4 linked regions of the Pelodiscus sinensis genome follow. The protein of the gene in region 1 interacts with the protein of each later gene in a pairwise test. Links are inferred from orthologs where the notes say so. Each region holds a gene or a part of one and is shown in the gene's direction. Other genes may lie near its edges. The genes, in order: SF3B4, HNRNPUL1, PPP1R16B and BAG3.

Region 1 (8,097 bases):
GGCCAGTCCGTCGGCTGCACGTGGAATGGGGCTGGTCTTTGGCGTGGCGAGGCACGTCCCAGCGATGGGGGCGTTCTGTGCACGTGTTTTCTAAGCCTGGGCCTTCCGGTCTCCACTGGAGAGCCCCTGGAGAACGAGAGCGGGGGGGATCTGGAGCCAGGCCCCTCTCCACCAGTCCTCCAGGCAGCGGGGAAGTTGCGGGTGCACGGGCCGGCGGGCGGTAGTTGCACTTCGCTTGTGAACAAGCATTTCCCAAGTGTGGTCCCAGGAGCTTCTGTCCTGCCCCGAGCGAAGGCAAATTTCCTCTCGGCCCTTTGGGCCAAACCACTCCGCGTCTCCCAGTTTGACACAAGCTGAGGGAGTGATGGGTGGAGGGGAGGGAACCTTTAATAGCTGCCATCCTGGCAGACCGAGGTATGGTTGTCCCCCTAAATTGTTACCACCCACTGGCTGCAACTGACCCATCCTTCCCTCAGAGACAAACGCCCGTTACATGAGCATCCGGCTGCCCCAGCTACCATCACCTTTCCTGCTTCGTGGCTCCCCTCTTGGTTGGTGCAGTGAAGGATGAACAGGTCTGGGAGACTGAATTTCATTTCCACCTTTCCCCGTGCTCCTTCTAGCCCAGGGCTGAGACGCTGTGGATGTTTTGGGGGTGTGGAGCAGCTTGCTTGGGTTGCACCCATCTTGGAGACCTTCAGTGTCCATAGCTATCCCGCTAGCATCTCTCTTGAGCTTGGTGGGGAGCGAAAGCTAAAGGCCGGCCGGCCCCGTCCCAGGCTGCTGCTGGCCTTAAACTGGGGCTGCCGTTCCCTTTGTACGTTAAATCTGCATCGCAACTTTAATGCTGCGCCTTTCAGGGACCCGCGCTTGCAAGCGGAACTCCAGGCCTGAATCACAGCTCTGTCATCCGCTACGCCTTCCATATACTGCAGCCTTCTTGAGGGGAGGAGGGGGAAAGCAGGATTCAGAACCCAATCGTCTCCCTCCCCAGGCTGCAGAAGTCGTATCCAATTAGTCAATTTCACCAGCTGGGCACAAGTATTAGCATCAATCGGAGACTTTTCCCCTGGCTCCAGCAGGCATTGCATTCAGGCCCATGCCAAGGGTAGTGAAGGAAACCCTTTGATGGGAGACTTTAATCATCGTTAAGGAACCTACAGATGCCCGACGGCAGTAGCCCGATGGCCTCATGCCGCTTATTAGCGGCGTATCTGGAGATGGGTGGTGTTTACACAGTTCTTGTATGCTACTTCTTTTCTGCCCCGAGAGCCAAGTGCCTGCTTTGTATATCTGTCCAATGTGGCATAACAGATTATTTTTATTGGCGTTTATTATATACTCTCTTGGGGCAATATTGGACTTATGGGTACATATGTATGGTTTTGTTTAAAATTTTTATATATTTTTTTAAAAGCCCTGGCTATCAAATTAGGAACCCACAGGAAATGGGTTTAGTGTCTAAGCTCAAGTGTTTTATGACAAAACCGGCTGATACATCTATGTGGGAGCCTGTGTGTGTTTCTCTCTCACACCCACACCCAGAGGGACTGGAAGCCGCCAAGTTCCTGAGTGGATTAGAACAGGCGTAGGGCTGCGCTGTTATCCAAGATAGCATGGGGAGATGTGCTGGCATGGCTAAAAGTAGCAGTGGACAGGCACACTGGCTTCAGAGCAAGCTGCACAAGATCTGGGTAAGTACTTGCATTGCTAGCTCATGCCACCACATGACCTTGGAAATATTTAGCCATGCAAGTGCAGGTATGTCTAACCCATGGGCTGTGTCTAGACTGCATCCCTTTTCCGGAAAAGGGATGCAAATTAGACACATCGCAATTGCAAATGAAGCAGGGATTTAAATCCCCCCCACTTCATTTGCATAAACATGGCTGCTGCTTTTTTCCAGCTCGGAGCTTTGCTGGAAAAAAGCGCCAGTCTAGACGGGGATCTTTTGGAAAATAAAGCCTTTTCCAAAAGATCCCTTATCCCTCTTAAAATAAGGGATCTTTTGGAAAAGGCTTTATTTTCCGAAAGATCCCCGTCTAGACTGGCGCTTTTTTCCCCGCAAAGCTCCGAGCCAGAAAAAAGCGGCAGCCCTGTTTATGCAAATGAAGTGGGGGGGATTTAAATCCCCGCTTCATTTGCAATTGCGATGTGTCTAATTTTCATCCCCTTTATGGAAAAGGGATGCAGTCTAGACAGAGCCATGCAGTAATCACGCCTAGAATTGCAGTATAGACATCACCCATGCATGCAGAGAGTCCAGTCCAGCTGTGGTAAAGGAAATTGGTACAGTTGTCTGCAAAGTTTGGAATTGTTGGCATGAGAATCCTAGAACTTCAGACCTTTCAAGTGCCTGGGAAAGAACTGTCACCCCTATCTGAGGAGCATAAAGAGAGCACTTCCTTCAGAGCAGGCTCATTTCTTTTTACGCGCAAGATTTCAAGATGATGAGATTTCCTTTGCACACTCCTGTGTGGCTCCTTTTCCTGCTGGTTATTCCTTTCTAAGAATTTGGGGGTTTTGCTCATTTTTTATATGTATATCTTAGCACTAACAGCACATATACATAGTACTATTTTCAGAAGAAAATTAGGATAACTCAGCAGATCACACATTCCCTGTGACATGAGGCATGAGTTAAGTGGAAATCCAAATAAGGGCATTTTTTTTTCTATTTTGTATATTTTTGTAGTGATGTTTCTATTTAAGGATTCATTAAAGTTCAGTATTTTTTAAATGCAGAGTGGCGGTCTGTGCATTGAATTGTATGCTCTAATTAAACTCAGATACCAGAATCATGGGGTGACATTCTCTTCTCTGTCTTCTGAAGGAGGCCAGATTAGATTAAGCTAATGGCCTTTTGTGCTTTTAAAATCTATTAACCTAAGAGTTCAGATCATCTACTGCAAATTAATCAGCCCTTATAAGGTGCTTTGTAGCAGTAGATTGCCAAGCATTTCACAAAGGAGGTGACGATGATCCCTATTTTACAGATGGGGAAACTGAGGTACTATTGAGGCAGGGACTTGCCTACGGTCACCCTGCAAGCCGATTGTTGAGCCAGGAATAGAATCTAATTTTCTCCAATCATTGTTCGAGACTCTCTCACTTTACCCAAAGCAGGGTAGTCCAGCTGGGCTGAGGCAGGAGGGGGGAGGGGGCTATTTGCACCTCTACCAATCACATTGCTGTGTGCCTCGGTTTCCCCATATGCACAATGGGAATAATGATAGTGACCTTCTTAGGTAAAACAGGGGAAGCCATTACATCCCCAAAAGCAGTCAGATCCTTCCTCTAAAAGGCCAGACACCCCACAGGTGTAAGGAATTATGCCATCAAGGTGCAGGAAGTACATAACCGGCTGTGTTGGGCTCTGCAGGACAATAAAGCATCATGGCGTAGCTGACTCCAGCCCACACTCAAAGGCTATGTCTACACTGGTGCGATCTTGCACCAGAGAAATGCAAATGAGGCTAAGCGTAGAATATCACCGAGCTTCATTTGCCTATCTAATGAGCTGCCATTTTGCGGAAGAGGCTCTTGCGCCAGAAGGAGCTGTCTACACTGCCCCTTCTTGCGCAAGAAAAACCCTCTTGCTCAGTGCTTTTTTGCGCAAGAAGGGGCAGTGTAGACAGCTCTTTCTGGCACAAGAGCCTCTTCTGCAAAAATGGCAGCTCATTAGATAGGCAAATGAGGCTCGGCGATAGTCCATGCTTAGCCTCATTTGCATAGCTCTGGCGTAAGATCGTGCCAGTGTAGACATAGCCAAGGAGGCTGGGTCTGTGCGTCTCTCTCCCAGAGCCTGGGCCGAGGGGCCAGAGCCGGACTAAGGGGTGGGCGAGCCGGGCAGCTGCTCGGGCGCCAACTGATGGAGGGCGCTTGACGGCAGTTGTACAGGGCGTGTAGCGTCCCTTATAGCTGCCATCAGGCACCGTGCACCCAGCTCCCCCCCACATCCCAGTGGCGCTGGCCAGCAGCGCCCTTCCCCCCACAGCCACGGGGCCCTGCACGGCCAGGCAGCGCATGCGCCGTGGGCCCCAGGCTGCGCGCCAGTGGCCATGGCCGGACAGCGCATGCACCGTGCGCACTGGGGCGGGCCCACACAGGCGCCATGCGCTCTGGGGCGGTGCCACGCACCCGGGCCTGGGGTGCCGAAATGGCTCGGGCCGGCCCTGCGAGGGGCACAGATCTTCTACCGCTGGGTGTTTAGTTTTTCTCTCATGCGTCTCCAGCTGGGACTAGAGGCCTTGGGAAGTCCAGACAACTGCCCCAGTGCCCACAGGCCCCCAGCGTTGCCAGGTTTTTGCCTGGACTGTCTGCTATTCGGGCCCCCTGTTCAGTAAAAGCAGCAGACAGCACCGGACATGAGAAATGTCTGGTGCTTCCTTTGGATGGACGTGGGGTGGGGGTGGGGGTGGGGGCGGGGGTGGGGGTGCAGTGTGGGGCCATTTAAAGGCGCAGTACCCCCTTTTTTTCTCAACTTTGGTCAAGAGATTTTTTTCCTGGTGTTTTTTTTGGGGGGGGGGGGGGGGTATTTGTTAATTCATCTGGCACCCCTAGGCCCCGCCCCCTGTGCCTGCATTGGGAATAGGGGGCGGGGTCAAGCAGCAGGCGCCCCCCCCCAGCAAGGGGGGGTGCTCTGCGGGGAGGGGGCATCCCCTACAACGGGTGCAGAGGGCCGTGGAGCGGCTAGTGGCACTTTACGTCATGACACGTCACCACAAGGGTCCTAGCCCTGGGGGACCAGGGTGGGGATGAAGAAGAAGGGACCCAGCGAGCCACTTCCGCCCAAAGGGAACATGGCCCCCTAGGGGCCTGCCCGGCCGACTTCCGCCCTTAGCCGTCATGGCTCCCCGGCCACTTCCGGCCTCGTCCAAGATGGCCGCCACGTTCACTGCCCCGTTTCAGCCGCGGTGGCCGGAAGTGGGAGGGTGAAAGGGCGGAAGTCGGCGGGGGAGGCGGGAGCGCGTTCGAGATGGCGGCGGGGCCCATCTCCGAGAGGAACCAGGGTAAATGGCGGCGGCCTCCGACCCCCTCGCCCCCCCCCCCCCGCCACGAGGGGCTGGGCCCGATCCTGCCCCCACAGCCAGAAGGGGGGGGCTGGGTTCCAGCCGGGGGGGCGGGTCCTGCTCCCACAGCCCGGGGGGGGGGCTGATCCTCAGCCTGGGGGGGCCTGATCCTGCCCCTGGTGCTGGCTGGGTTCCAGTGGGGGGGGCCAATCTTCCCCTCCCAGCTGGAGGGGGGGCTGGGACCTCCCCCCAAAAGCGGGGGGAGGGGGCTGGGTCTGAGCCTGCAGGGGAGCCCGATCCGCCCCTCCCCCCCCACCAGAAAAGCTGGGCGGGGTGGGGCTGAGTCCCAGCTCGGGGGGGGGGGGGGTCTCGATCCTCTCCTCAAAAATGAGCGGGGATGGGGCTGTGCCCCAGCTGGGGGGAGGCGACCTCCCCCCCCAAAAGCCAGAGGGAATGGGGCGTGTCCTAGCTTGGGGGGGCCACGCATCCCACTAAAAGTGAGAGGGGTGGGGGCGCTAGATTCGGTTCCTCTGCTTTGCATGTGATTTCTGTCAGTTCGTTTTTTGTGGGGGGTGGCGGGAGCTGTGGGTTCTCACTCTGCAACCCTGGGCAGATCTTCCCTCCTCTCTCTGCCTCAGTTTCCTCCATAAAATAAATACCTTGGGGTGGGGGTGAGATTTTAGTTTGATCTGAAGTATCGACTTTGTGTTGCCTTGGCAATGGGAGGGGATCATGGTCAGCAGCGTCATTAGGTATGGTTTGAGGGTGTTACTGTACAAACGTGATTTAAGGGGAGTTGCTTCCTTGCACGCAACAAGGGGAGGCAGTGTAGCCTACCTGCTAGAGCACTGGCCTGGCCCTTGAGACACCTGAGTTCTATTCTTGGCTCTGTTGGGTGATCTTGAGCTGCTTCTTCTCACTGCCTCAGTCTCCCCATCTGTATTATGGGGCTGATGATGCTGACCTCCTTTGCAAAGTGCTGTGAGAGCTACTGAAGGACTAGCTAAAAGTTAGGGATTAGCACCTCTTTGGTGCATGTCTGCACTTCAAGCACGGGTTTTAATCCTCTGGCTTATTGGGTGTATAATACTCCAGAGGAGTGTGTTTCATTAGGGGTCAAATCTTGTGCTGTTGAAGTGGAGGCAAGTTTTGCTTTTGACTTAGTGGGCTCAAGCTTGATACAGAGCTCCTCTCTTCTGAGGGGGGAGTTCCTAACTCCTCTGAAATAGCAACGAGATTCCTCTTCAGAGCCATGTAACCCAGAACCGTCTCCTCTTCCCCCTCTCAAGATGCTACCGTGTACGTTGGTGGCCTGGACGAGAAGGTCAGCGAGCCGCTGCTATGGGAACTCTTCCTGCAGGCGGGACCAGTGGTCAATACTCACATGCCCAAAGATCGAGTCACAGGTCAACATCAAGGTAAGGCGCTGTCGGGGCCTTTCAAAGATGTGTGTCTGCAAAATAACGCATAGATCCGAATCCTCGTGGTGCCTGGTGCTGTACAAACACTGACCAGCCCGTCCCCAGGCCTGAGCTTATAATTTAAATCATTCTTCTGGGTTTCAGTTTACTCCATGCGTATGTTGCCACTGGTTCTAGGACACAGCACGGACCACATCTCATTTTCATATTGTCTCACTCCAGTTAAAAACATATGAACGGCCATACTGGGTCAGACCCCAAAGGTCCATCTAGCCCAGTGTCCTGTCTGCTGACAGTGGCCACTACCAGATGCCTCAGAGGAAGGGATTACAACAGGTAATCCTCATGTGATACCTCCCCTGTCACCCACCTCCAGAGAAACAGAGGGTAGGGATACCATTTCTACCCTTCCTGGCTAATAGCCATTGATGAACCTAACCTCCATGAATCCATCTAGCTCTTTTTTGAGCCCTGTTAAAGTCCTAGCTTTCACCACATCCTCTGGCAAGGAGTTCCACAGGTTAACTGTGTGCCGAGTGAAGAAAAACTTCCTTTTGTTTGTTTTAAACCTGCTGCCTATTCATTTCATTTGGTGATCCCTAGTTCTTATATTGTGGGAATAAGTAAATAACTTTTCCTTATTCACTTTTTCCATGGCCAGTCATAATTTTATAGAACTCTCTCATATCCCCCCTTAGTCTCCTCTCTTCTAAGATGAAAAGTCCAAGTCTTTTTAATCTCTCTTCATATCGGACCCTTTCCAAATCCCTACTCACATTCTTGTTGCCCTCCTAATCGGTTGCGTTACTTTGAAGAGTAGACGCGTGTTCTGGGCTCCGTTACTTTTTAACCCAGTTTCAGTGGAGACTTGAGGCTTGTCTACAATTGAAAGAGGCTGGAGCAGCTTTGCTGGCAAACTCTCCCAGTGGGAGAGACTGCATATAACAGAATTTTGTAGTTCCCTACATAGAATAAGTTATAGCAACTAAAGGACTTGCTGGTATCATATGTACATGTAGATCTTTGCTGACCCAGCTTTGCCATGTCGGCATGTGATTATTTCACACTCCCAGGCAACATAGCAATGCTAGAAAAACTTCCGAAGTGTAGGCCAGCCAGTAGTGAAACTGGTACAGATCCCTCTTTGGAGACTCAGAGCCGTTTAAATCTTTAGCTTGCAGCTGTGAGCTATGGGTGTTAAACCCGGTTCATCAATTGAACTTGATGAGTGTTCACGCGTGCAGCTGCACTAGTTTAAATAAATCAGTTGCAAAATGGCACCTTTAGATCGGTGCTACTTCATGGCTAGATCAGGCTTCAGAGGCCAAGGGCACGAGAAATCAATAGATGCAGGTGAGGGAGAAAGATGATCTGAATTGCAACGGAGTGGAGACGTAGACCGAGGTGGTTCCGGACACTAGATGACGCAGTGAGAGTTCTGTCTGCAGGGGGACAGTTGGCCTCCTCCGTCATTCCAGCCAGTTGTAGATGATTGAGGAGAGAGATTATTTCAGGGAGAGCTGTAGAGGAGAAGACTCTTGCGTCCACAGTGAAGAAACAAAGGAGGCCTGAGATCAAGCAAGGGGATGGAGTGGGAGGCTGGAGTGTGCCTGGCAGTAAAGGGCTCTGTTGTGGGGGGGTGTGTTTCAGGCTATGGGTTCGTG
Region 2 (7,897 bases), on another chromosome or scaffold:
CCGGTTCTCACCTCTTGTGGGCTACACCTCAGGATAAACGCAGCCCTGCGGCATCTTTCCAGGTGGAACCGCCCCTACTCCCTTGTATTTCCCTGCCTCACTTACACCGGCACCGGCAGCACCCCTGTATTCGCTGCGTAAACACCACCCGCAATAAAACTGGGTTTACTGACTCCCTCCATGGCTCACTCGATGCGTTCCGTTCCGTTCCGAGGCTCGGGCAGGAAATATTCCCAGTGCCGCAGCAGCGACACCAACACGCTCCTGAAATCCCAGCCAGGCTGGGTCCGAGAAACTAGCCTCCCCTGGGAAAATCCAGAGCCCGTCAATGGCAGGGAGCGCTTCCTGGGACGGACGCGGGCAAACCCAGCCCGGGAGCGAGCTGCACAAACCATGGATATTTGGGTTTGCTGAAGAGGCAAACCAAAGGCAAGGTTTGGAACGGTTCGGTGCCTTACAAAGGTGGGAGGGGGGTGCTGAACAAGACGTTTTGTTGGAAAAGCCTTCCTTTTGATTCGGAGCCTCTTGAACCCTTTGCCACTGGGCGTTCGCTCCGCCAGCTCGAAGGCCGTTTCTAAACCAAGAGTCGTTTGACACCCCCCATCCTACCCTGTTTGCCTTTCGATGGCGTCCGGCTTTTTCCAACCAAGCTGACGCAAGGTCACAGAAGGTTTTGCTGTGGCCAAAGCTGCGGGTTTTTCCCCCTTAGATAAAACACTTTGGCTGTGTCTAAACTGGCCACTTTTTCCGGAAAAGCAGCCGCTTTTCTGGAAAAACTTGCCAGCTGTCTACACTGGCCGCTTGAATTTCCGCAAAAGCACTGATGTAAGATTGTCAGTGTTCTTGCGGAGATACTGTGCTGCTCCCGTTCGGGCAAAAGTCTTTTTCCGAAAAACTTTTGTGCAAAAGGGCCAGTGTAGACAGCAGAGATTTGTTTTCCGCAAAAAAGCCCCAATCGTGAAAATGGCAATCGGGGCTTTTTTGCGGAAAAGCGCGTCTAGATTGCGGAAAAGCGTCCTGCCCATCTAGACGCGCTTTTCCAAAAATGCTTTTAACGGAAAACTTTTCCGTTAAAAGCATTTCCGGAAAATCATGCCAGTCTAGACGTAGCCCTCGGATGGAATTTTCCACCCCGCTCTAGTGAGGTTTGGATGTCGGGAAGAGATTTACATCAGTGGGGGCCTGGCCCGCGAGCGAGGGCTCTTGGCCCACGAATGCTGCCGATTCTCCAGTTCGGGTCTCTCTCCCGCTTCCAGCGGAGGAGGGCGTGGTGGGACAAACGCCTGGGAGCAGATACCGGGGGGTGACCGGCCACTGCTGGCCAATTGCTGGCGCTCAACGTAACGGGCGCTGGGTGAGCAACCTTTGCAGCCAGCTGTGTGGAAACCTGCCTGGAACTCAGCAGCCGTTGGCGGACGTGGCCCTCGGGCGGAGGCGTCCCACAGACCGAAGGCCTGCTACTTGTGGGAGCACCGGGGGGATCCGTGCACGGGGTGCCTGGGGTCCTGCCTCAGCCAGAACGGGGCGCCCCGCCCCCCTGGAATGACTGACGCTTGCTCTGCCCCCGCAGCTCCAGAACATTTCTGTCACCGTGAGCGCCCTGGAATCCTATGACCAGAGCCACGTGGTGGCCATGAGGCGGGAGCTGGCCACGCTCAGACAGCGCCTGGAGGACTGTCAGAAGGACAGGCCACTGCTGGGAGGCCAGCCGCTGGTCGGTGAGTACCCCCGGGGACGGGTCTCAGCTGGACTGAGGAGACTTCGCTCAGGTCCCAGCACTGCCCCAGCCACCCCCCCGGGACTGCCAAGTCTCCCTGTGTGCCTCAGTTTCCCACCTGTGAAGTGGGGCTAGCCATGGGGTGACGGGAGAAAGGTTATGAGCAGCCCAAAGCCTGTGCAGCCATAATCCCTGAGCTGGGAGAGAGCCCAGGAGTTCTGGCTCTCAGCTCCCATTGATCGCCTCTGCCCCCCCGCCACTCTAATCACTAGACTTCACTCCCTTCCCAGAGCTGATCTTGAACCCAGGAGTCCTGGCTCCCAGCTCCCTGCTCTAACCACTAGCCCGCACTCCCCTCCCAGAGCTGGGCTGGAACCCCATTGCCCTGGCTCTGAGCTGTGCCGTCACTGGGCCGATCTAACCCTCGTGACGCCCCGACCCCCTCTCCCCGCAGGCACGTGCAGCCACCGGGGGATCTGGCGCATCGGCAAGCCCTCGGTGGTGCAGCTCAACTGGAAGGGCCCAAGCTACAAGGCCGGGGCCTGGGGCAAGGAGTCGTTCCTGGGCGCGGGGCGGAAGGAACGCTACTGGGTGGCGCCGCTGAACACGGACGGCCGGCGGCTGGACGCGGTGCGTCTCTACGGCTCCTACCAGGACCTGCTGCTCGCCAGGAACCCCACGGACCAGCTGATCTCGGGCTCCGGGCAGGGGGCCGGGCCGGCGCTGTACAACGGCTCCCTCTACTACAACTGCTACAACGCGCGGGAGGTGTGCCGCCTGAGCCTGGAGAGCGGGGCCGTGGACCGCAAGGCCGTGCCCAACGCCGCCTTCAACAACCGCTTCTCCTACGCTGGCACCAGCTGGCAGGGCCTCGACCTGGCCGCGGACGAGACCGGGCTGTGGGTGCTCTACGCCACCGAGCGCGGCGAGGGCACCATCGTCATCGGCCGCCTGGGGCCCGGCTCGCTGGCCGTGGAGAAGACCTGGCTCACCTCACAGTACAAGCCGGCGGCCACCAACGCCTTCCTGGTGTGTGGGGTGATGTACGCCACCCGCCCGCTCAGCACCCGCCGCGAGGAGATCTTCTACGCCTACGACACCCGCACGGGCCAGGGGAGCCGCCTCAGCCTGCCGCTGGAGAAGGTGACCGACGTCGTGCAGTCCCTGAGCTACAACCCCGCCGACCACAAGCTGTACATGTACAGCGACGGCTACCTGCTCACCTACGACGTCATCTTCCGGCCCTAGCGTCCCGCCTGGCCTGGAGGCAGGGGACCGGCAGCGCCCAGGGCGGGTGGGTCTCCCCCTGCCTTCTCCGGCCCACCCTGTTCCTTCCCCCCAAACTCCAGTCTTCCTCCCCCTCCTCGTTCCCCCTTTCCTGTTCCCCTGATGCTTTTACTCTTCGTCCCAGGTCACTGCCCTCAGTCCTGCTCTCTCTCCCACCATGCTTGTTTCTCTCTCACCACTTTGCTAGAACTAAGGCTGCTCAACGGCCCAGCTCCCAGGCTCTGCCTCAATTTCCCCTCCCAGCTCCCGGGCTCTGCCTCAATTTCCCCTCCCAGCTCCCAGGCTCTGCCACTCCACCCCCTTTGCTACCGTACTGGGGTTTCTGCCACCCCACGAAACCTGTAGTCTCGGCTGCAATTCCCCTGCACGCCACAGCTGGAGTGGGCGGCTGGGGCCAGGACAGACAATCGGCCCATTGGTTGTTCTCGTGAGTTTCCATTCACCCCACTGCCTCCGCAGGGCCACACCTGGGGCGAATTTGGCTCTCGGAATTGGGGGCTTCTGAGGCCCAAACGGAGCCTTGTTTTGTCTTGGTAGCCAATAAACGTGACCTTCCAACCGCAGCCCCGTGCGCGTCACTGCATTTGGGGGTCTAACGCGTCCCAGGGACCAGCACCCGAGCGCCAGGGAGCTGGCAGCCAGGGTGGGGCTGGCGTCTTGCCCACAGCCGGGACTGCTGCTGTTTCCATGAAAGCCGCTGGCGCCTTGCTTCATGCAGCGCCCCATTGCCTGAGAAAACCAGACCTACCCCGATCAGCCAATAGGAACGGGTCTAACAATAAATCCCCCAGGGCTCAGCCAATGGGAAATGCACCTTCCCCCACAAACAGACCTAGGCCTCAGCCAACGGGAACTGCTCTAACAAATCTCTCCCCCCCCCCCCTTTAGCCAATGGGAAATGCACCACCATCAACCCCCCCCCCCCATACCACCAGGCCTCAGCCAATGAAAAATGCAATAACATCCCTCCCATCAGCCAATGGGAATTGCAATAACACCCCTCCTATCAGCCAATGGGAATTGCAATAACATCCCTCCTATCAGCCAATGGGAACTGCAATAACATCCCTCCCATCAGCCAATGGGAATTGCAATAACATCCCTCCTATCTGCCAATGGGAACTGCAATAACATCCCTCCCCTCAGCCAATGGGAATTGCAATAACATCCCTCCCCTCAGCCAATGGGAAAGGCAATAACATCCCTCCCCTCAGCCAATGGGAACTGCAATAACATCCCTCCCCTCAGCCAATGGGAACTGCAATAACATCCCTCCCCTCAGCCAATGGGAACTGCAATAACATCCCTCCCCTCAGCCAATGGGAAAGGCAATAAGATAAAAATCCCTTCCACAACCAAACAAACGCTCTCTGGGCTAAGCCAATAGCAGACAAGCTCACAGCCGCTCAGTCGGGAGCGCAGCCAATGGGACATGCGCAGAAAACAAACAAACCCAGAGTCCAGCCAATGAGGAACTCCCCGTGAAGTCGCGGGGGGCGCCGTGATTGGTCTAAGCGAGGTCTGACGCCCGCCCGTTTAGCTGCCAATCAAGGCCATCCTTCCCGCCCTCCAGGCGCCGTTTGAGGGACGCTCGCGGCCCCGCGGCCCGCGGCCAATGACAAGGCCCGTTCCAACGCCGCCTCCCGGCTCCGGCCAATGGCCGCCCCGCTGACACACGACGCGCGAGCGGGAGACGGGCGGCGAGGGGAGGCGCGAGGCGCCCGGCGCGGCCCAATCGCAGGCGGCCTTGCAGGGCGGCGCGGGGCGCCCGGCCAATGGGCGGCCCCGTTGCGAGGCGGCGCGGCCGCGGGCGGGGAGGCGGCGATGGCGGCCATTTTGAGCCGGGCCCGCAGCCGGGCAGCCGGGGCCCAGCGCGGGGCTCGGAGCGCGGCCGGCGCCATGGACGTGCGGCGCCTGCGGGTGACCGAGCTGCGCGAGGAGCTGGGCCGGCGCGGGCTGGACACGCGCGGCCTCAAGGCGGAGCTGGCCGAGCGGCTGCAGGCGGCGCTGGAGGCCGAGGAGGCGCGGCGGGCGGGCGGCCCGGCGCCCGACGGACACTGTGAGGGGGGCCCCGCGGGCGGGGAACGGGGCCCGGCGGCGGCAGCCCCTCACCCGCGCCTCGCGCCTCGCGGGGGCGGGGCCAGCCGGGCGGGGGCGGGGCCTCGCTCCTCGAGGGGGGCGGTGAAGAGCCTCCCCCCGCCCAGGGTTGTCGGGCAGCCCGGCGGGGTCCCGAAGCCCCTGGGCCCTGCGGGTTTCTAAAGCCCCTAGGCCCTGCTCTCCCTGGGGCGGTGGGTATCTAAAGCCCCTGGGCTAGGTAGGTGCCTAAAGCCCCTAGGCCCTGCTCTCCCTGGGGACGTGGATTTCTAAAGCCCCTAGGCCCTGCTCTCCCTGGGGACGTGGGTTTCTAAAGCCCCTAGGCCCTGCTCTCCCTGGGGACGTGGGTTTCTAAAGCCCCTAGGCCCTGCTCTCCCTGGGGACGTGGGTTTCTAAAGCCCCTAGGCCCTGCTCTCCCTGGGGACGATGGGTTTCTAAAGCCCCTAGGCCTTGCTCTTCCCGGGGAGGTGGGTTTCTAAAGCCCCTAGGCTTGGCTTTCCCTGGGGCGGTGGGTATCTAAAGCCTCTGGGCTAGCTAGGTGCCTAAAGCCCCTAGGCCCTGTTCTCCCTGGGGACGTGGGTTTCTAAAGCCCCTAGGCCCTGCTCTCCCCGGAACACTGGGTTTCTAAAGCATCTGAGCTAGGTAGGTTTCTAAAGCCCCTAGGCCCTGCTCTCCCTGGGGACGATGGGTTTCTAAAGCCCCTAGGCCTTGCTCTCCCCGGAGCACTGGGTTTCTAAAGCATCTGGGCTAGGTAGGTTTCTAAAGCCCCTGGGCCCTGCTCTTCCCGGGGAGGTGGGTTTCTAAAGCCTCTGGGCTAGCTAGGTGCCTAAAGCCCCTAGGCCCTGTTCTCCCTGGGGACGTGGGTTTCTAAAGCCCCTAGGCCCTGCTCTCCCTGGGGACGATGGGTTTCTAAAGCCCCTAGGCCTTGCTCTCCCCGGAGCACTGGGTTTCTAAAGCATCTGGGCTAGGTAGGTGTCTAATGCCCCTAGGCCTTGCTCTCCCCGGAGCACTGGGTTTCTAAAGCATCTGGGCTAGGTAGGTTTCTAAAGCCCATAGGCCCTGTTCTCTCTGGGACGACGGGTTTCTAAAGCCCCTAGGCCCTGCCCTCCCTTGGGCGGTGGGTTTCTAAAGCCTCTGGTCTGGGTAGGTGTCTAAAGCCCCTAGGCCCTGTTCTCCCCGGGGGGAGGGTCATGTCTGCATAACAGCCTGGCCTGGCTCGCTGGTGTAATTGGGGTTTTCACTGGGGCATTTAGGCTCACAGCTGTTGGGGACACCCGTAGCCTCTGGTTGGGAAGGGGCATCAGGGTGGGCAGATACGATGTGCCAAGCTGGCTCTGGGTCATGTGATCCCAGCGCTGAGGGCGCCGGTAGCCTGGGCTCTAGTCCCAGCTCACTGCTCCCACCCGGCTTGTAATGACGCGGGGGAGTTGGTGTGTGTAGATGTACCCAAGAGACTTCTGCCTTCCCCTCTCCCATGAGGAAAGGAGGTAGCTTTCTGTCAGCAGTAGGTGCTTATTTTATGCATCCCATGGCTGGTTTTATTTCTATCTGGAGAGGGGTCAGTTCTTGGCTGTTCCTCACTTGTTTCCTTGTTGATGGATTTTGGCAGGTAGGGATCCTGTCAGCCTATTCATTGAGAGATCCTCTAGGCTTTTGTCAGGTCCTGTTCCCCCCCCTCCCCCAATTCCCCTGGTGGTTAGGGTCTGTTTCCCATAGACTGGTTGGCAAGTACCGTAGAGCCACATCTCGTCTGCTGTCCACTGCGATGTTCGTGCATGGCTGGAGGAGCTGTGTGTGCACGTGCATAAATAGCTTGGATACACATTTGATCAGTTCTGCTTCATACAAGAGACTGAGCTTAAAAGACAGAAACTGAACTGCCCCTCCGGGGTTCAGCACTGGGAGTATGTATGGGTCTGGACTTGCTAGTCATCTTATCTCTTTGCTGTATTACACGTCAAACCACGTGTGGGAATGCTCCCTAAATCTCAGGTGCTTGGAAGCATGTGCAAGCTTGCTTGCTTGCTGTTGTCCATTGGAGGCATACTTTTGTCCTCCTAATGGTGCATCTCGTACCGGGACTGGTTCTGTGCTTTTCTGGCATGCGGTGTGATAGCGGATGAGCCACCTTTCAATATTTCACTAAAGCAGTGGTTACCAAACTTTTTGGCATCACGCCCCCTTTTTGATTTTTGAGAAACCCTCACACACACACACACACCCCATAGCAGCAAAACTTGTTAAGCTAAAAAAAGTGGGGGGGGAACTGACCGGGTCCGAAAAACAAAAATAGCAGCAAGTTGGGGGGGTTGGACCAGGGGGGCTGTGTCGCCTCATGTCCCCCCTGAAATGTCTTCATGCCCCCCAGTTTGGGAACCCATGCGCTAGAGAATGCTGATTTGCTTTGGTTCTGTGCTAAGATGCTCTTATTGTACCATTTGTGTGAATTGGACAACCTCTGAGGACCAAAACTTACTGATTTGTCTTTCCCCTGGAAGGTGATGTAGCCACTTTCACTTTTGCTTTTTGTAGTTCTTGGAAAGTAAACTACAAGTTCAGTCCTACATGCAAGTGAGTAAACTTCCTTTGCTAGACGTGAGGGTCACAGTTCAGTCCTGCAGGCGTAGGGAGTGTTGTCTGTCATTGTTTGCTGGAGCGTGGGTTAGATTTGCCTGACACTGGGATTTCGTTGCCTTTAGTTCAAAAGGGGTAGTTTGCACTAGAAGAGTTTTGCCACTGAAACACATGCTTGTTTTGCAGCGAGCAGATGGTTGGCTCTTTGATTTCGCGATAGCTTTT
Region 3 (7,302 bases), on another chromosome or scaffold:
GACAGCCCCCTGGTCCTCGCAGGGAGCAACACTAGGGCTCCCACGACCCACCGAGGGATACCAAGCGGTGGACACCCTCATGGTCTGGGGCGGAGATCCTGTCCCTCTTTGAGCTGGGGGGGGGAAGGAGACCTTCCAGCAGTGTTTCTTAAACTTTTTAAGACTGAGGAACCCCAAACAATATTTTTGGGATTTTTTGTTGAGCAAAAAAAGGTCAGGAGAAAGTTATTCAGGAAAAAAAAAGAGTGGCCATTTTGAATTCTGTTGTTCTCTGCGGCACACCTCCGAACACAGTTTAAGAAACACTGCCTTACGGGATCTCTGCTCCAAATGTCACAATGCGGACATTTAAGGCTGAGTAGCTGAGGCCCTTAGAACAGGTGTGGACTAAAGGGAAGGACCTCCACCAGGGATATGGGAGGGCCAGAGAGCACAGCTTATGCTCCTGGGCAGGACCCCATGCCTGCCCCTACTTCACCGAGCTCCACCAGATCCTGGGCGGGGGGGAGCCCTTTTCCCACCCGTCGTCAAGGACTCCGACCTCGAGATGCCCGTCGTCGCCTGGCCGGAGGTCACGGAGGAGGACATGGCCACAATGACGCTGTCCCTGGAGCAGTTGCTATGTGCCAGGACGTGTCCCAAGCATTGTCTGATGCCAGGTAGGGATCATCAGGTGAGTGCTCTCACTTTGTCTCACACACAGGGTGGGGGAGGCGGGTGCGAGGGGGTGGGGTGCGAGCGTCACTTGGCCTGCTGGGGCTGGACCTCATGCTGCAGTCCGTGCATGTGGGCCCACGTGCAGCATTATTGTGCACCATGTGGACTCAGCAGGCAGCCCCTGAGCCCACCCAGGCTCCTGCTCCTAGGCTCAGGGGAGGCCACACACACATCTGGCCCCGGGGGGCGGGGATACCCTCCCACCACCAGACACCTCTGGAAGCAGGCTAGCCACAGGGGCGCAGGCATGTCCCCCGACACACCGAGGAGTGCCGCACACAGGCATGCCTGCACGTGCGAGGCACCACCCGCTCCAGCGGGCAGCACTGTGAGCTGCAGGTGTGTGTGCAGGCTCCAGGGAGGACCAGGCTGCTCCTGGCTCCTCTGCCGCCCATGGGATCTCCCTGTGGCCAGACACTTCCCTGGCCTGCTTGTCCATGATGCGGTGGAAGGGGGAGTGGCCAGCATGGTTCTCTGAGCACCTTGGGCTTGTGAGAGGCAGGGCCTGCTGTGCAAGCCACACATGGCCTTGCTCCCAGGACATCCCCCTCCTCTGACCCGAGGACTGTTGGTCGCTGCTCACAGAGAAGGGCACGGCCTCAGGGACAGTGTCTGCAGGGATGACTGACCGCCTCTCCCTCTTGTGTAGTCTCCACAGCCTGGCTCGAGGGACGAGCCACACCACCCGAGCCAGCCGTCCGACCCCGGGGGAACCGAAAGCGCTCCAGGGTCCAGGAGGAGCTCATGAGGAAGCATGTGGACGTCCTGTGCAATATGCAGCGGACCTTGGTGCAGAAGGTCTAGGAGGGTGCAGACTGGCGGACCCACATGTGAGATCAGCTTGAGAGAGAGATGTTGGCACACCCGGCTGCTGTTGCTGCTCCTGCCTGCCATCCTCCTGCCCTCTCCAAGCGATGCCCATGCACCCTCCTCCTACCATCCCTGACCATGCTCAGGCCCACCCCCCTCCGGTCCAAGGACCCACGCAAACCCAAGTTCAATGAGGTCTCCACACCCAGACATCTAGCTGTCCCCCACGCCACTCCCAGCTCTGAGGCCCCCTCCAGGTTATGAGCCCCCCCCCCAACTTTTTTTAGTAAAGGATAAATACTAAGTTCATTCTGTTAAAATCCCAACAGGTGTCTTTATTCTGAGGTCTGTGAAAGGGCGGAGAGGGGTTGTGGTGGGAAAGGGATATTAGAGCAAGCCAGAAGCCGCTAGTGGGGAGGTCCTGGGGAGAGTTACTGGGGTCCTTGAGAGAAACTCTCCCTCAGGGCCTCCTGGATGTGCAGCCCGGCTTGATGGGCCTGGCGGATGGCAACTGTCCGCAGCTGCTCAAAGAGTCTCCCCTCGTGGCCGGCCTCTGCCCCCCACCCAGGTAGGAAGGCCTCCCCCTTCCTCTCCACAATGTTGTTGAGGACGTGTTGAGACAACCTCCGGGATGCTGTGCTCCCCCACATCGAGGCAGGTCAGGAGGTAACTGAACACACCTTGATGCGGCCAAAGGTGCACTCCACCTGCATCCCTGCTGGGCTAAGGTGGGAGTTAAACTGGTCACTGCTGGGGTCCAGGTGGTCGGTATAGGGTTTCATTAATGATGACATGAGGAGGTAGGCTGCATTCTCCACGATGCACAGTAGCATCTGCACATTCCCAACCACAAAGTCACAGCAGGGGAAGAATGTGCCCACCTCCAGCTTGCTGTAGAGGCTTGAGTTTTGAAAGATGCAGGCATCGTGTGCCCTTCCTGACTACCCGACAAAAGTGTCCGTGAACTGTCCACCGTGGTCGACCAGGGCCTGCAGCACCATTGAAAAACAGCCCTTGGGGTTGATATACTGGGGCGCTCGATGGTTCAGAAATGTGGACCGGGTTTTGGGTCCCATCTATGGTTCCACCACAGTTCAGGAACCCCAGGGCAGCAAATCCAGTCACAATCGGGTCCAGGTCTTCCAGGAGGATGACCCTGTGCAGCAGGATGCAGTTGATGGCCCTCACCACCTGCAGAAGGAGACAACACACAAAACAGAGAATGACAGGGAGTGCCGGAGCACTTGGGAGGTGCCTGCCCCCCCAAACACCCCAGGAGCCCCCCTCAGCAGCAGGGCTGAGAGAGGGCGGGATGGCACAATCCCCCAGGCACGGGGCTTCTCCCCCCCCCCCCAGCCCTACACCCTGCCCCCCAAGCCTCCTGTTTCCTGAGGATCCCCCTTTTCCAGGATTCCTCCCCCCATGCAGGGACTGCAGCCCCGGAGTGCCTTACCTGATGAGGAGGGCTCCGACGGTGGACTTCCCCACGCCGAACTGGTTGCCCACCAACTAGTAGCTCTCTGGGGTGGCAAGCTTCCAGATGGCAATTGTGAGCCGCTTCTTCAGGGGGATGGCGGGCTACAGGTGGGTGTTGCATTGTCAGAGGGCAGGGACGAGCCAGGCACATAGCTTCAAAAAGGTGGCCTTCTGCATGCGGAAGTTTTGGAGCCACTGCTGGTCGTCCCACCGCTCCATGTCCAGCTGGTCCCACAAATCAGAACTGGTGTCCAGCCTCCAAAAATGCCTCTCCACTGTGGGGTGCAGTTGCACAGGTCTTGCTCCTGCATACAGGGAGAGGGTCTCCAGTATGAGCTTGGAGTGGAGCTCACGCAGGGCCAGGAAGGCAGCCTGCGCAAACTGCAGCATGGCCGTGTGGGGCCATCGCATGCCCAGGGGCAGCTCTGGCTCCATGGCACAAAGGAAAAAGCTGTGGTATCCAAAAAAGCTGGCCAACCAAAGCTGGCACTGCAGGAGCACTGCAGTCCCTCGAAGAGGTACCAAGCACGCAGCGGAAGCAGAGAAATGGATGTCCAGGAGGGTCCCTTTAAGTGTGTGTGTCAGCAAGGATTCAGCAACAGCACTCCGAAGCAATTGGTGACCTAAAGCCCTGCTTGAAGTGGTTCCGGGTGGCCTTATATGCGAGATAGTGTCCAATCAGTGTGGACGCTCTCTTTCAAAAGATTTTTCAGAAGATCTCTTCTGGAAAAGCTTCTTCCAAAAGAAGCCTGCAGTCTAGATGTAGCCTAAGTGTGGCATTAGGTTGGCTCTTTCCTTTTATGCTTGCATACTGAACAGGCAGCTTAAATCTCAGGGTGGGCAGTTCAACACCAAATCCATGAGAAAATTAGTATATTGTTACAGCAACTCCTGCAGCCATGGCAGCAAATGCAATGGTGCAGACAAAGCATGGACATTTGACCAGTGTGTGTTCTACACACTGCACAGGTATCTGCCCAGCTTTAATGGAGAGCGGTCCTAAAATTTTTTTCAGCAAAAATTGCAGAATGGGGCTGACCAAAACATTTCACAAGTTCATGTTAAAGTCATTGAATTGTGTGTCAAAAAATGTGAAAGAACTGAAATGTTTGACATTTTTTATACCAAATGTTTGACCTTTTGATTAAAAATTATTTTGGTTTTAAAATTAAACTGAAACATTTCAAAAGTAAAAGCACAAAGTCTAAACATTTCTGGTCAAACAACCAGAAATTTGTCTGACCCCAAATTATTTTTTTTTATTTTTCAGGATGGTCAACCAAAATATAATTTTGTTAACTAAATAGCTGATGCAACTGGTTACTGCATTAAAGGGACTTTCAGTTTAGTAGAGATACAGCCCGAAGGGGCAAAAATAGCAAAGGAGACTATTATGAATTTATACAAGCAACTTTTGATCTTGGGAAATGACACACATTCCAGATCACTATCTACAGTGAGACATTTGCTTCTGAGTTGGAAATGGCAGAAACAACCCTGAAATGTGTTTCCAGCAGGCCCAAGACCTCAAAGCTGCCTTGCCCATTCCAGAAGTGAAATCAGGACAAAAAGCATGCCCAACACTAAAAAGCAAGTACAGAGAAAGTATTAACCTATAACATACTCTGCAAGTCTGAATTTTGTGGCCTTCCAAGCTTCCTGCAAAAGCCATAGTTGATGTTTTGAAAAAGGCAAAGGGTATAAATTTCATAGTAATGAAAAGGTGGAAAGGAGTTGGCTGATTTAACTACAGGGACATTAACAAATTTCAGTTCAAAAGCACAGGAGCTATTTAACCATTTGCTAGTAAACAAGTATTATAGGCAATGGAGACCAGTCTTCAGTAAGATGAATACCTTGTAGTTACAGATACCTGTGTAGTCCCCTTACTAAAGGTGCCTCCGCTTATTTTCTGGGAAGACCCTGAGTGCTGCAATCCAGCCTCACAGACTACAATTCCCATGAGTCTTTGGGAAAAACAGGAAGGAAGTGACTCTTGTGTGGGAGATCAGGGTCTCTCCAGTGCATGAGAAGGGAGGCTTAGCAGTCTGGGACTCTGCCCTTGGATTTTGGAACAGAAGGGAAGCCAGGCTGCTGTGGAGGAGTTTCATCCAGTCCAGGGGCTGTTAGAGTGCAGCTATAGACTGGGACTGGCCTTTGGAACTGGGATCAAGCAGGCTGCTTCTGATAGGCACAGCATGAGACTGTAAGTAATTGGGCATTTTTTGAAAAGTGCTGCCTGGGACAGAGCTGCTGCCTAGCTTGGACCCTCATACATACTGCCTGCAGAGAATCTCCATTACAGCTGCAGTTCTTCAAGTGCGCTCATGCAAGCAAGAGTCTGGGACTCTGAGTCCAGGAGTGTGCGCACACTGGGGTGGGATCAATATTGGCAGTGCAAATGCTAGCTATATAAGTTCCAATTATTGTGGTGCCCTTTGTTAATGCTATTCATTGTTAATCTATTAAACCCTGTTTATTTAAGTTAAGTAAAGAGTGTTTATTTTAATGTAATCTTTTAGATGTATATGATTTGCAGTTGTTCTGGAATTAGATCCAGATTATTGCTGGAATGAGTTTATTCCTGGATGCTCTCAAGGCACACCAGTAAGTGTGTACAAGGCCAGCCAGCTGGAGGCACCACCCTTGTATGTTCTTTATGAGCAAGGGACTGCAGAAAAGGGGTGGATAGGGTTTTCCCCAACTAAACAACATCACCACTGGGGTGCTCAGGATCTCCTTTTATGTTAAAACCATCAGGTGCCCAGGCACACAGGAGAGTGTGACCTGCTCCCGAGTAACCCGGGGAGGGAAAAGGGGGTTACACCTGTCATGTTATTTCCTGTTCTACCACTGTGCTCTGACCTTATCTGCCAACAGCACGTTATTCTTCCCCCCCCCCCCCCATAGCCTAAGTGCTATTTGCTTCTAAAGACAAAGTCTCTTTCAGTTACTTCATTGTATTCATCACAGGACACATCATCTCCTCTCAGACTTTTGGGGAACTGTTTATGCTTCCTCATGTCTTTGGATTCTTTTCACAGATCCTTAAGTTCTAGTTTTACCCAGTCTCCTGCCTATCTGAGAAGTAAAATGCATGGTTCTGCTTCTGTGGCCCTGTGGGAGAGACATAATGGAAGTATAAAGTATTCCATCTGTGGCTGATGATCACTTATTTCAGTCAAAGCAATGCAAGTAAACTTGGCTGAAGTAACATCAGGGCATGGTAAGCATGCAGTTCTGGTCACCCCAACTTAAAAAAATAATTAGAATTGGGAAAGATTCAGAGAAGGGCAATAAAAATGGTTAAGGTATAGAAGAGCATTCACATGAAGGGAGATTAATACAACTGGGACTTTTCAGCTTGGAAAAGAGATGATTAAGGGGCAGGGGGATATGATAGAGGTTAATAAAATCATGACTGGTGTGGAGAAAGCGAATAAAGCTGAATTTATTTATAGTCACGTAACACAAGAAGCAGGTGACACTCTATGAAATTAATAGGCAGCACAGTTAAATGAATGGAAAACCTCTTTATATAATGCTCAGTCAACCTGTGGAACTTGTTGCCAGGGTATCTTGTGAAGACCAAAAGTATAATAGGGTTTGAAAAAGAATTAGAGAAGTTGCCAGGGAATGAGCCATCAAAGGCTATTAACCATGATGTTCAGAAATGAAAACTCCTTTATCTGTGTGTAACTACGAGGGAGAAGCTGAGAGTGGATAACAGGGGACTGATCACCTGGTCTATTCATTCCCTCTGACACACCTGGCCTTAGCCACTGTTGGAAGACAGGATGCTGGGCAAGGTAGACCATTGGTCTGACCCAGAATGCTTCATGGCATATCTGTGGCGTAGAACTGGGCTCCTATCGTTTTACAAGAGATGCTATAATTAGGAGAGTCTAATGTGTTCAACTTCCTACACACTTTGCAGAAAAACTAAGCTGATACCCTTTGTCTTCCATATTCTGGCTCTCATATATAAAATCATAATATACACATGGCTTTTATAAGAATGCATTGTTGCTTCACAGCACCTCACAAACAACATGCTACTAGGCTAAACTATAGTCACCCCAAACTCTGGTTTCTGAAATCTCATCCCAGAGACAAACTTTACATCTTGAATCTATCTCTGTCATTATCTGCCTGGGAGGTAGGTAAAATGCATTAGTTCAGATTAGAGGAAGAAAGTACGCAGATTAAGTGCCACACAATGGTCTTTGAGCCCAAAACTAAACAATAGATATAAATAAATAATGCATCAGCCAGGTGTTGAATTTCTTTTCTACTCTG
Region 4 (7,282 bases), on another chromosome or scaffold:
CTTCTGCTCTCCTTTGATTTGCTTCCCTTTGATCTGGTCCTCTCCTCCCTTGCACATGTTGCCCAGTTCCTTTCTTCCCTGAATATTTCTCTCCCACTTGCAGCTCCTGATGGTGGCTGACAGTTCACATACCAACCAAGGATCTGTCCCTGGATAGGACTTTTCTTCTTCTCCTTCTCTTATATAGCAGCAACCCCTAGGATTTCCAATAGCTGGTTCTCCTTCTCATTTCCAGCTGCTGAAATCAACAGAGATTACTGTAATGCCTGTAGAACCAGAAGGAAAGGAGGACCATGTGATTTGAACTGCCTACAATGAGCCACCCAAAAGCCTATTGACTTGACTCCTTTCTAACTCATTTTCCTGTGGTAATATTGCCAAACCCAAACCTGGGGCTAGATTCTACTTTCAGTTACACTAGCAAAAAATCCTTTAGACTTATTAGTAAGAGTCACAAAGCGTCTAGGTGATTTACAAAAAGACTTCATCTGAGAAAGGACATAGCTCCGCATACATCTGGCCTGTGGAGTTTAATCTTCCCAGAAAATCATGAGGTTTAAGGGAAATCACTGATAAGTGTATTGATTAGTTTATATAAAAGTCCAAAACTATTGTTTGCCAGAAAAATACTAGTTGTGGTTTGAATGTAATTCTGCCTTTATAAAAGACAATACAGGTTGAACCTCTCTACAGGTTGAACCTCAATACAGGTTGAAACCCTTGGGACCTTACTGGTACCAAACCAAAGAATTTACCAAACTATGGGAGGTCAATATTGTCTAGCAGCATTACCAGCACTTCTACTGCTTACTGGACTCTTAAAAGATATTTAGGGGGTAAATTAGAGCTAAATAACATCATAGAACCCTGAGAGCCAGGACTGGGGCAGTAAATAAATTTTATGGGACTGCTGAAAATGTGGCCACATCATGATAAGTGGCCATTGAGCTAACTAAAATCATGCTGGACCATGGATATTGCCAGACCAGAAAGGGCTGGACTAGAGAGGTTCAACCTGTATATGGTGGTTGTGCAATTAATGCTTGAATTTTTCGCATCTTGTGGGCCAATAGCAACTAGAAAAACTGTCTTAATAGAAGGATAAAATAAAAAAAACATGTTGCCATTGTCTCAAATGAGGGATCCATCAAAGATGTGAGTTCCACATTCAAGCCCCAACAGGGTAATGGTTTCTTAATTGGTGGGAACGTGTGAGTCAGATCTTTTTATAAATCTATATATTGCAGAAAAAATTGAGTGACTATCTGCAAGTGGACGATATGCTGGAATAGCAGCCAACTGGACCCCACTGAAAGTCTGAAGACAATAACTAGACCAAGTTGACTGATATAGAAGAATCCAAGAAGGCTAAAACATGACTCTCAACAGACCATGAAGAGAAATGTTTTTACCTAAATTAATAAATCTTTCTAATAGAGGCTTTCTGCTTTGAATCAAAATGTCTTGTTTAGCTGCTGAGCAGGATCCGTCCACAGAATTCAGCCAGATCACATGCTATTAAGTATAGAGATTCTGGGTTCAGATGAAGCACCAGGCCTTGATTCTGGGAAATTATTTCCAGTAGATTTATATAAAGAGGAACAGGTGGACTGATAAAAAGATGCCTCATGCAGGAGTTCTAGAACTAGTGCCCAGGCTGGAGCTATCATTACCACCTTAGCTTTGTCTTAGCAAATCTTCCTAAAAATGCTGTGGACTAAAGGAATGGGAAGAAAGGCCTAAAGCAGATCATTGTCCCTTTGGAACAGAAGTGTGACCATCATAGACCAAGGCTTAGTCCCTCACAAGAGCAGAATACAGGCAGTCATATCTTACAGTTCCTGAACTCAGCCTATAGCTGTTCCACTTTCTCTCTTTCCTTCTGTGCTCTTTTTCTGTACTTTGTAGCCTCTGAGTTAATGAAGTAATTAACTTTTCACTCTCTCCAATTGATCTTCAATCTATCAATTTGGCACAGAACTCATATAGTGGTGTGCATTGGGCAACTAACTGATGCTGCAGTGATTAGAATCCTGGATCACCTGCTGTTGCCCAAGGCTTTGTCACAATATTGAGATGAGAAAGATGGAGGCCTATACCATCTACCCTCTGGGCAGCCAGAGGGAGTGCAAGGTGTAGGTGTGGGAAAGAGATGGAGAGGGGGGGTTGCAGGCTCTGGGAATGAGTGGGGAGCAGGAGTTGATATTAGGAGAGGGGATGGAGGTTGCAGCACTTACGTAGGGCGCTCCTCTTTGACAGCAGCCCCTAAGCATAAGGAGCAGAGATCTCTGTGCACTGCTCTCTGCAGGCACCACCCTGGAGCTTCCTATTGGGCTAGAGGGGCACTTGGGGCAAGGGCAATGCGCAGAGACAACCTTCTCCCAAGGGGGTCACAGGGACACATAGCAGCAGTTGCACAGAGCAAGTGGTGAGGAGTGCTGTTGGTGATGTTTCCTGGGCCATTTTAGATGACCCAGGAATAGCAGGTGGGCTGGGGGTCTTGCTGGGCTGGGGAGCGCAGGGTGGCGGGTGGGAGAGAGACTCAGTCTTGAACTTTGGTAGAGCCAGGCCTGGGCCAGGAATATTCTTGGTGCTGCCTGGGCACCCCGAGCCCATAGAACTCCCTGCCCATGCTTGAGGTGTAAATGTAACCCACACACTTGCTGGATGTGGCTCACTGTCCTATATAGTGGCACTTAGACCAGAGAGAGCAAAAGAGTTTGCTCTACAGCAGTGTTTCTTAAACTGTGTCCTGGGGAGCACCGGTGTGCCACGACGCAGTCGGAGGTGTGCCGTGGAGAACAACAGAGTTCAAAATGGCTGTTTTTTTGTTGTTGTTGTTGTTCAACAAAAAAATCCTTGGTGTCCCTCGTAAAAAAAATTGTTTGGTGTTTCTCAGTCTTAAAAAGTTTGTTTCTGTAGAGAAACACTACTCTACAGCCTTAGAGATTAGCTCTGGAGGTCCCAGGTTCAGTTCTGCCAGTTGGTGTTACACATCTACCTATAGTGGAACGTGGGTGAGCAAAAGCATCTCAGAGACTGAACTTACGTATACACTTACACATTTCCAGGATCAGGGCCTGACTAGTTCTCTGAAATCAATGTTACACCTTGTAAACAAGAGAAGAGTCAGTCCAAGCACCTTTATCCCTTGTGCACTGGCCACAATGAAGTTACTCCTAGGATGCATCTGGCCCAGTGGGGTTGCACAGGTGTGATTCAGAGGTGCTGTTTAGGTGTTGTAGATATGTGAGATTTTTATCTATCAGAAATTACTGATCGACTGCTATAGGCAAAGGCACCCAGGCCACTAATCCTTTACATTCTGCCAATGCCCAAAAACCAGTGCTGGCCCTAGGCATAAGGAGACTAAGCACTTGCAGGGTCCCTAACAGCTCAAATGGGAGAAGGGGGGAGGGCTACTCACTTTTTATTATTATTAAGGCACTGAGCGGTCACAGAGATCATGGATTCTGTGGTATTTTTATATGACCTGTATGATTTCAGCCACACACAGCGGTGTGGGGGGAGGCAAAAATACTCTTGCTTTTACTGTCCCCAAGGGGCTAGCAACACTTCTGCCAAAGACCCTGATCAGGCACTGCAATCCCATTCATAGACTCAGGGGGCTGGAAGAGACCTCAGGAGGTTATCGATTCCAAAGCAGGGCTGATCCCAACTAAATCACCCCAGCCAGGCCTTTGTCAAACCCAGACTTAAAAACCTCTCAGGATACAGAGTCCAAAACCTCCCTCGAGAACCCATCCCAGGGCTTCACCACCCTCCTAGGGGAATAGTTTTTCCTAATATCCAGCGGAGACCTCCCCCTCTGTAACTTGAGCTCCTTGTTCGGCCATTCCCCAGAGAAAAGGGGGGGTGAACTTTCCCCGCCTCCGTCCCAGCGCCCCCGAGAAGCGAGGACACGCCGCGGCAGCACGGAGAGTTGGGCTGGGCTAACCCCACAGGCGGAGGAGCCGGAGGGTGACTCAAGCAGGCTTTCCCCGCCCCGCCGCAACCAAGTTCTGCTCGACACCACCAGAAGTTTCCAGCCGCGCCGGCCAGTTGCTCTGTCTCTCCACCTCCTTCTCCTCCCCCTTCTCCTCCTCCTCCTCCGCCTGGCCCCTGCGCGGCTCTTTCCAGACACTTCCACCCCCTTCGCTGCCCCCTCCCTCCGCCCATTGATTGATAAAGGTGCCGGCCTGGCCGGCGTCCCCGCCTGAGTCTCCAGCGCATGGGCTGGCTGGGTGCGCGTCCTGCCCGAGCATGAGCGCAGCCACGCACTCGCCCCTGGGGCAGATGGAGGGCAGCGCCGAGCGAGAGCCCCTGCCGCCGGGCTGGGAGGTGAAGATCGACCCGCAGACGGGCTGGCCCTTCTTCGTGGATCACAACAGCCGCACCACCACCTGGAGCGACCCGCGGCTGCTGGCGGAGCCGCACAAGGTGCCCGCGGGGGGGCTCCGCGCCGGGGACTTTGGAGGAAAGGGTCGGGAGCTTGCTCCGTGCGCAGCGCCTGGCACGGCGGGGGGCAGAGCAGGGCTGCGTGGGGAGAAGGGGGACAAAGGGACGGGCTGCCGGGCCTGCCCTCGGTACATGGCGAATACTGAGGGGAGCAGCCTCCTCTCCCCTTGATACATGGCAAATGCGCAGGGCGGGCCTTGGTACACGGCAAATTGGGGGGGGGCAGATTCCCCTCTCCTAGATATATGGGAAATACCAGGGGGATAGTAGCTTTCCCATGGAGCACATGGGGAGGGGGCAGCCGGGTCTCCCCTCGGTACGTGGTGTTGTAGTGGGGCAACAAGCTCTATTCAGTACACGCCAAATGCCAAAGCCGCCCCTACTCTAGTACATGGAAAGGGGGGGGGGGTAGGGGTGCTAGAGCAATGGCAGAACTGCCTGCCCTCTCAGTACCGTGCAGTGGAGGGTGAGGGGCAATGGCAGGGCCATCTGCCCCCTCTCCTCAGTACATGGCAATGCAGTGAGGCCAGGAGCTGCCTTTTGTCTCTGACGCACTGCAGTCCTTTTTTTGTGCATTAAATCATTTGATACCTTAGCCCTGTAATGTTTATTTAAAGTTGGTTAAGTCCACCCAGCCTGCCTGGAAAGACACACACAGATTTATTTTTCAGATGTGTATAATTTAAACTATGGACATCAGTAAAAACCCGCCTTCTTTCAAGGTTTTTTTTTTTCTCTTTGTGTTAACTGTCTGGGTAATTTTGTTCTTTGGTTTTTGTTTTGTTTTAAAGCATGCTTATGGGAAATCCATCTCTTACTCCAAATATGTCCATGTAAAGAGAAGCAGTTGAGAGATAGAGAGGAGTCATGTTATTTCTACTTGCCCTCATAAATGGAGCTTTTAAGTAAGCCTGTCTTAGTTTCAATAAATACTCAATTTATAAATGGCCCTCCAATTAATCAGAATTAGCGGATTTTGTTAGCCTTAGGCAAAAACCAGGAGAAAAAAGGTGCTAGAAAATCCTAGCAGAACTAGGAAGGTTTTAAAAGCTTGGTGGAAAATAAGAGTTTATCATCAGATGTCTGTTTACTTTGTTTTAAGTTTTTTAATACACTACGAGGCTAAGCTTTGTCCTTGTGCCTTTATTTTTGAAATATTATTGATGGTCATAAAACATTATTGTCATAGGACTAACACAGGGCTCAGTTCTGTTGTCCTTAGACACTACGTTCCAGAATGAAGCTTATTTAGAAGAGGGTTGTAGAGAATTCTGCAGCACATCAAAGGAAAGAGTGTGTTTAATAAAAAATAAACAGTGCTGGTCAGGCTAATGCTGAAAGAAATTTGTGTGGACTCTTAAGTTCCTGGGTATTGGACTGGTAGTCTGAATGCTGGATTACTTCAGCTACTAGAGAAGGTTCCTGACAATGTAGTAACAAGCTAAAACCTGCAATTCTCAAACTGTGGGTTGAGACTCTATTTTAATGGGGTCCCCAGGGCTGTCTTAGGGTTGCTGGGGTTTTGCCCTTCCCCCAACCTGAGACAGTGTAGCTCAGGCTTCTGTCATCCCTTCTGGGGCTGTGTAGTGATTTTTGTTGTCAGAAAGAGGTCACAGTGCAACGGATTTGGAAAACACTTGAGCTGTTGCCTTAAAAATGGAGCAGTGCTGGTGGTCTTAGGCCTTTAAACACAAGAAATTATTGTAGAGCACCAAAACAGTTAAATCATCATGACAACATTCAGTTCTAATTAACTCTGAGAACTATATTTTCACCATTTCATCAGCATTCTGAAAGGACGTAGGCGTTGGTTTGTAGAAAGTATTGTTGCTTGTGTTGAAGTTCTTTAGAGGTCTGAAATGTATTTTTGTAAATTAGCCCATGGAAGATAAATTTTGTTGACTGATGACAACCATTTTTGTGCAATTCTGACACTTGTAACTTTATTCATTCATGTAAATCTTGATGCTTGAAACACTAAATGTAACAGGAATACTCTTTACAATACCTCAGTTTCAGAATGATAATTGAATTACATTTATTACTCATTTTATGAATTCAATCACAACTCAGCACAAGCAGTGCAGTATAATGGAAGCCCAAGGGACTGATTCTCTCTCCACCTCCCTCTGCCCCCCTCCCCCTGCTCCCAAATCAGGAGTACCTCCACAGAAGTCATTGGAATTACTTGGGTATGGATCCAGTGTGACAGATTTTCTTGATTTAATACAGATTTTATAAAACAATTCACTTATTTTTTTGTAAATATTCTTAAATGTATTGATAGGCACTGTTTAACGTAATGACAAAGTAAATTATGTAATTTTGGTACTATTGTGATGATCTCAGAAACATATGTTATATATTATATGTTTAAAATTGACTAAAAAAGCTCATGTTAGACAGATTGTCTGATAGTGTAATTGGGTTCCAGTCAGGAATGATTCTACTGTGAACAAATAAATATATTAAGAGATGTCCTATGCAACTATAATAGTTTTTTGAAGAGTGCACATTTTTGAATGATCTCTCTTATAAATTTGCTATCTCTTGGGAAATTATCCATTGTCTCTGCTGCCTTGTTTAAGATCAAAAAAAAAAAAAAAACCAGATTTAAGCTGATAATCATCTGAAAAGGAGGAAAATTGTGAATTATAGTGGATCATAAATCCTCCTTTGTGATTGAAACAAAAATTCCATTCTTATCTAATGTGAAATCTATAGTAATGGAAGGTAATTCCTTTCCTGCCAGGTTTTAATGATTATCTTACAAACCAGTTTAAAAGTAGTTGGAGGAGATAGGGAGGATATACAAGCTGCTATA

Evidence for each region.
Region 2: the proteins of SF3B4 (region 1) and HNRNPUL1 interact in binary tests that used the Homo sapiens proteins (3 or more experiments, as listed by UniProt). The link is inferred for Pelodiscus sinensis from reciprocal best matches to the Homo sapiens genes SF3B4 and HNRNPUL1.
Region 3: the proteins of SF3B4 (region 1) and PPP1R16B interact in binary tests that used the Homo sapiens proteins (3 or more experiments, as listed by UniProt). The two-hybrid records come from large-scale screens. The link is inferred for Pelodiscus sinensis from reciprocal best matches to the Homo sapiens genes SF3B4 and PPP1R16B.
Region 4: the proteins of SF3B4 (region 1) and BAG3 interact in binary tests that used the Homo sapiens proteins (3 or more experiments, as listed by UniProt). The two-hybrid records come from large-scale screens. The link is inferred for Pelodiscus sinensis from reciprocal best matches to the Homo sapiens genes SF3B4 and BAG3.

What each region holds. Positions count from the first base shown.
Region 1 is NC_134734.1:20,278,680-20,286,776, reverse strand, and holds the start of SF3B4 (splicing factor 3B subunit 4), read left to right. Parts: upstream 1-4,852; 5' UTR 4,853-4,978; coding exon 4,979-5,012; intron 5,013-6,301; coding exon 6,302-6,430; intron 6,431-8,083; coding exon 8,084-8,097. UniProt on the Homo sapiens protein: Component of the 17S U2 SnRNP complex of the spliceosome, a large ribonucleoprotein complex that removes introns from transcribed pre-mRNAs.
Region 2 is NW_027465992.1:17,366-25,262, forward strand, and holds the start of HNRNPUL1 (heterogeneous nuclear ribonucleoprotein U-like protein 1), read left to right. Parts: upstream 1-4,830; 5' UTR 4,831-4,903; coding exon 4,904-5,063; intron 5,064-7,897. Other genes in the region: olfactomedin-like, read left to right, coding at 1,571-1,718, 2,172-2,965.
Region 3 is NC_134728.1:27,112,530-27,119,831, reverse strand, and holds the start of PPP1R16B (protein phosphatase 1 regulatory inhibitor subunit 16B), read left to right. Parts: upstream 1-4,280; 5' UTR 4,281-5,209; intron 5,210-7,302. UniProt on the Homo sapiens protein: Regulator of protein phosphatase 1 (PP1) that acts as a positive regulator of pulmonary endothelial cell (EC) barrier function. Involved in the regulation of the PI3K/AKT signaling pathway, angiogenesis and endothelial cell proliferation.
Region 4 is NC_134718.1:58,606,278-58,613,559, reverse strand, and holds the start of BAG3 (BAG family molecular chaperone regulator 3), read left to right. Parts: upstream 1-3,928; 5' UTR 3,929-4,263; coding exon 4,264-4,440; intron 4,441-6,136; exon of another isoform or gene 6,137-6,435; intron 6,436-7,282. UniProt on the Homo sapiens protein: Co-chaperone and adapter protein that connects different classes of molecular chaperones including heat shock proteins 70 (HSP70s), e.g. HSPA1A/HSP70 or HSPA8/HSC70, and small heat shock proteins (sHSPs), e.g. HSPB8.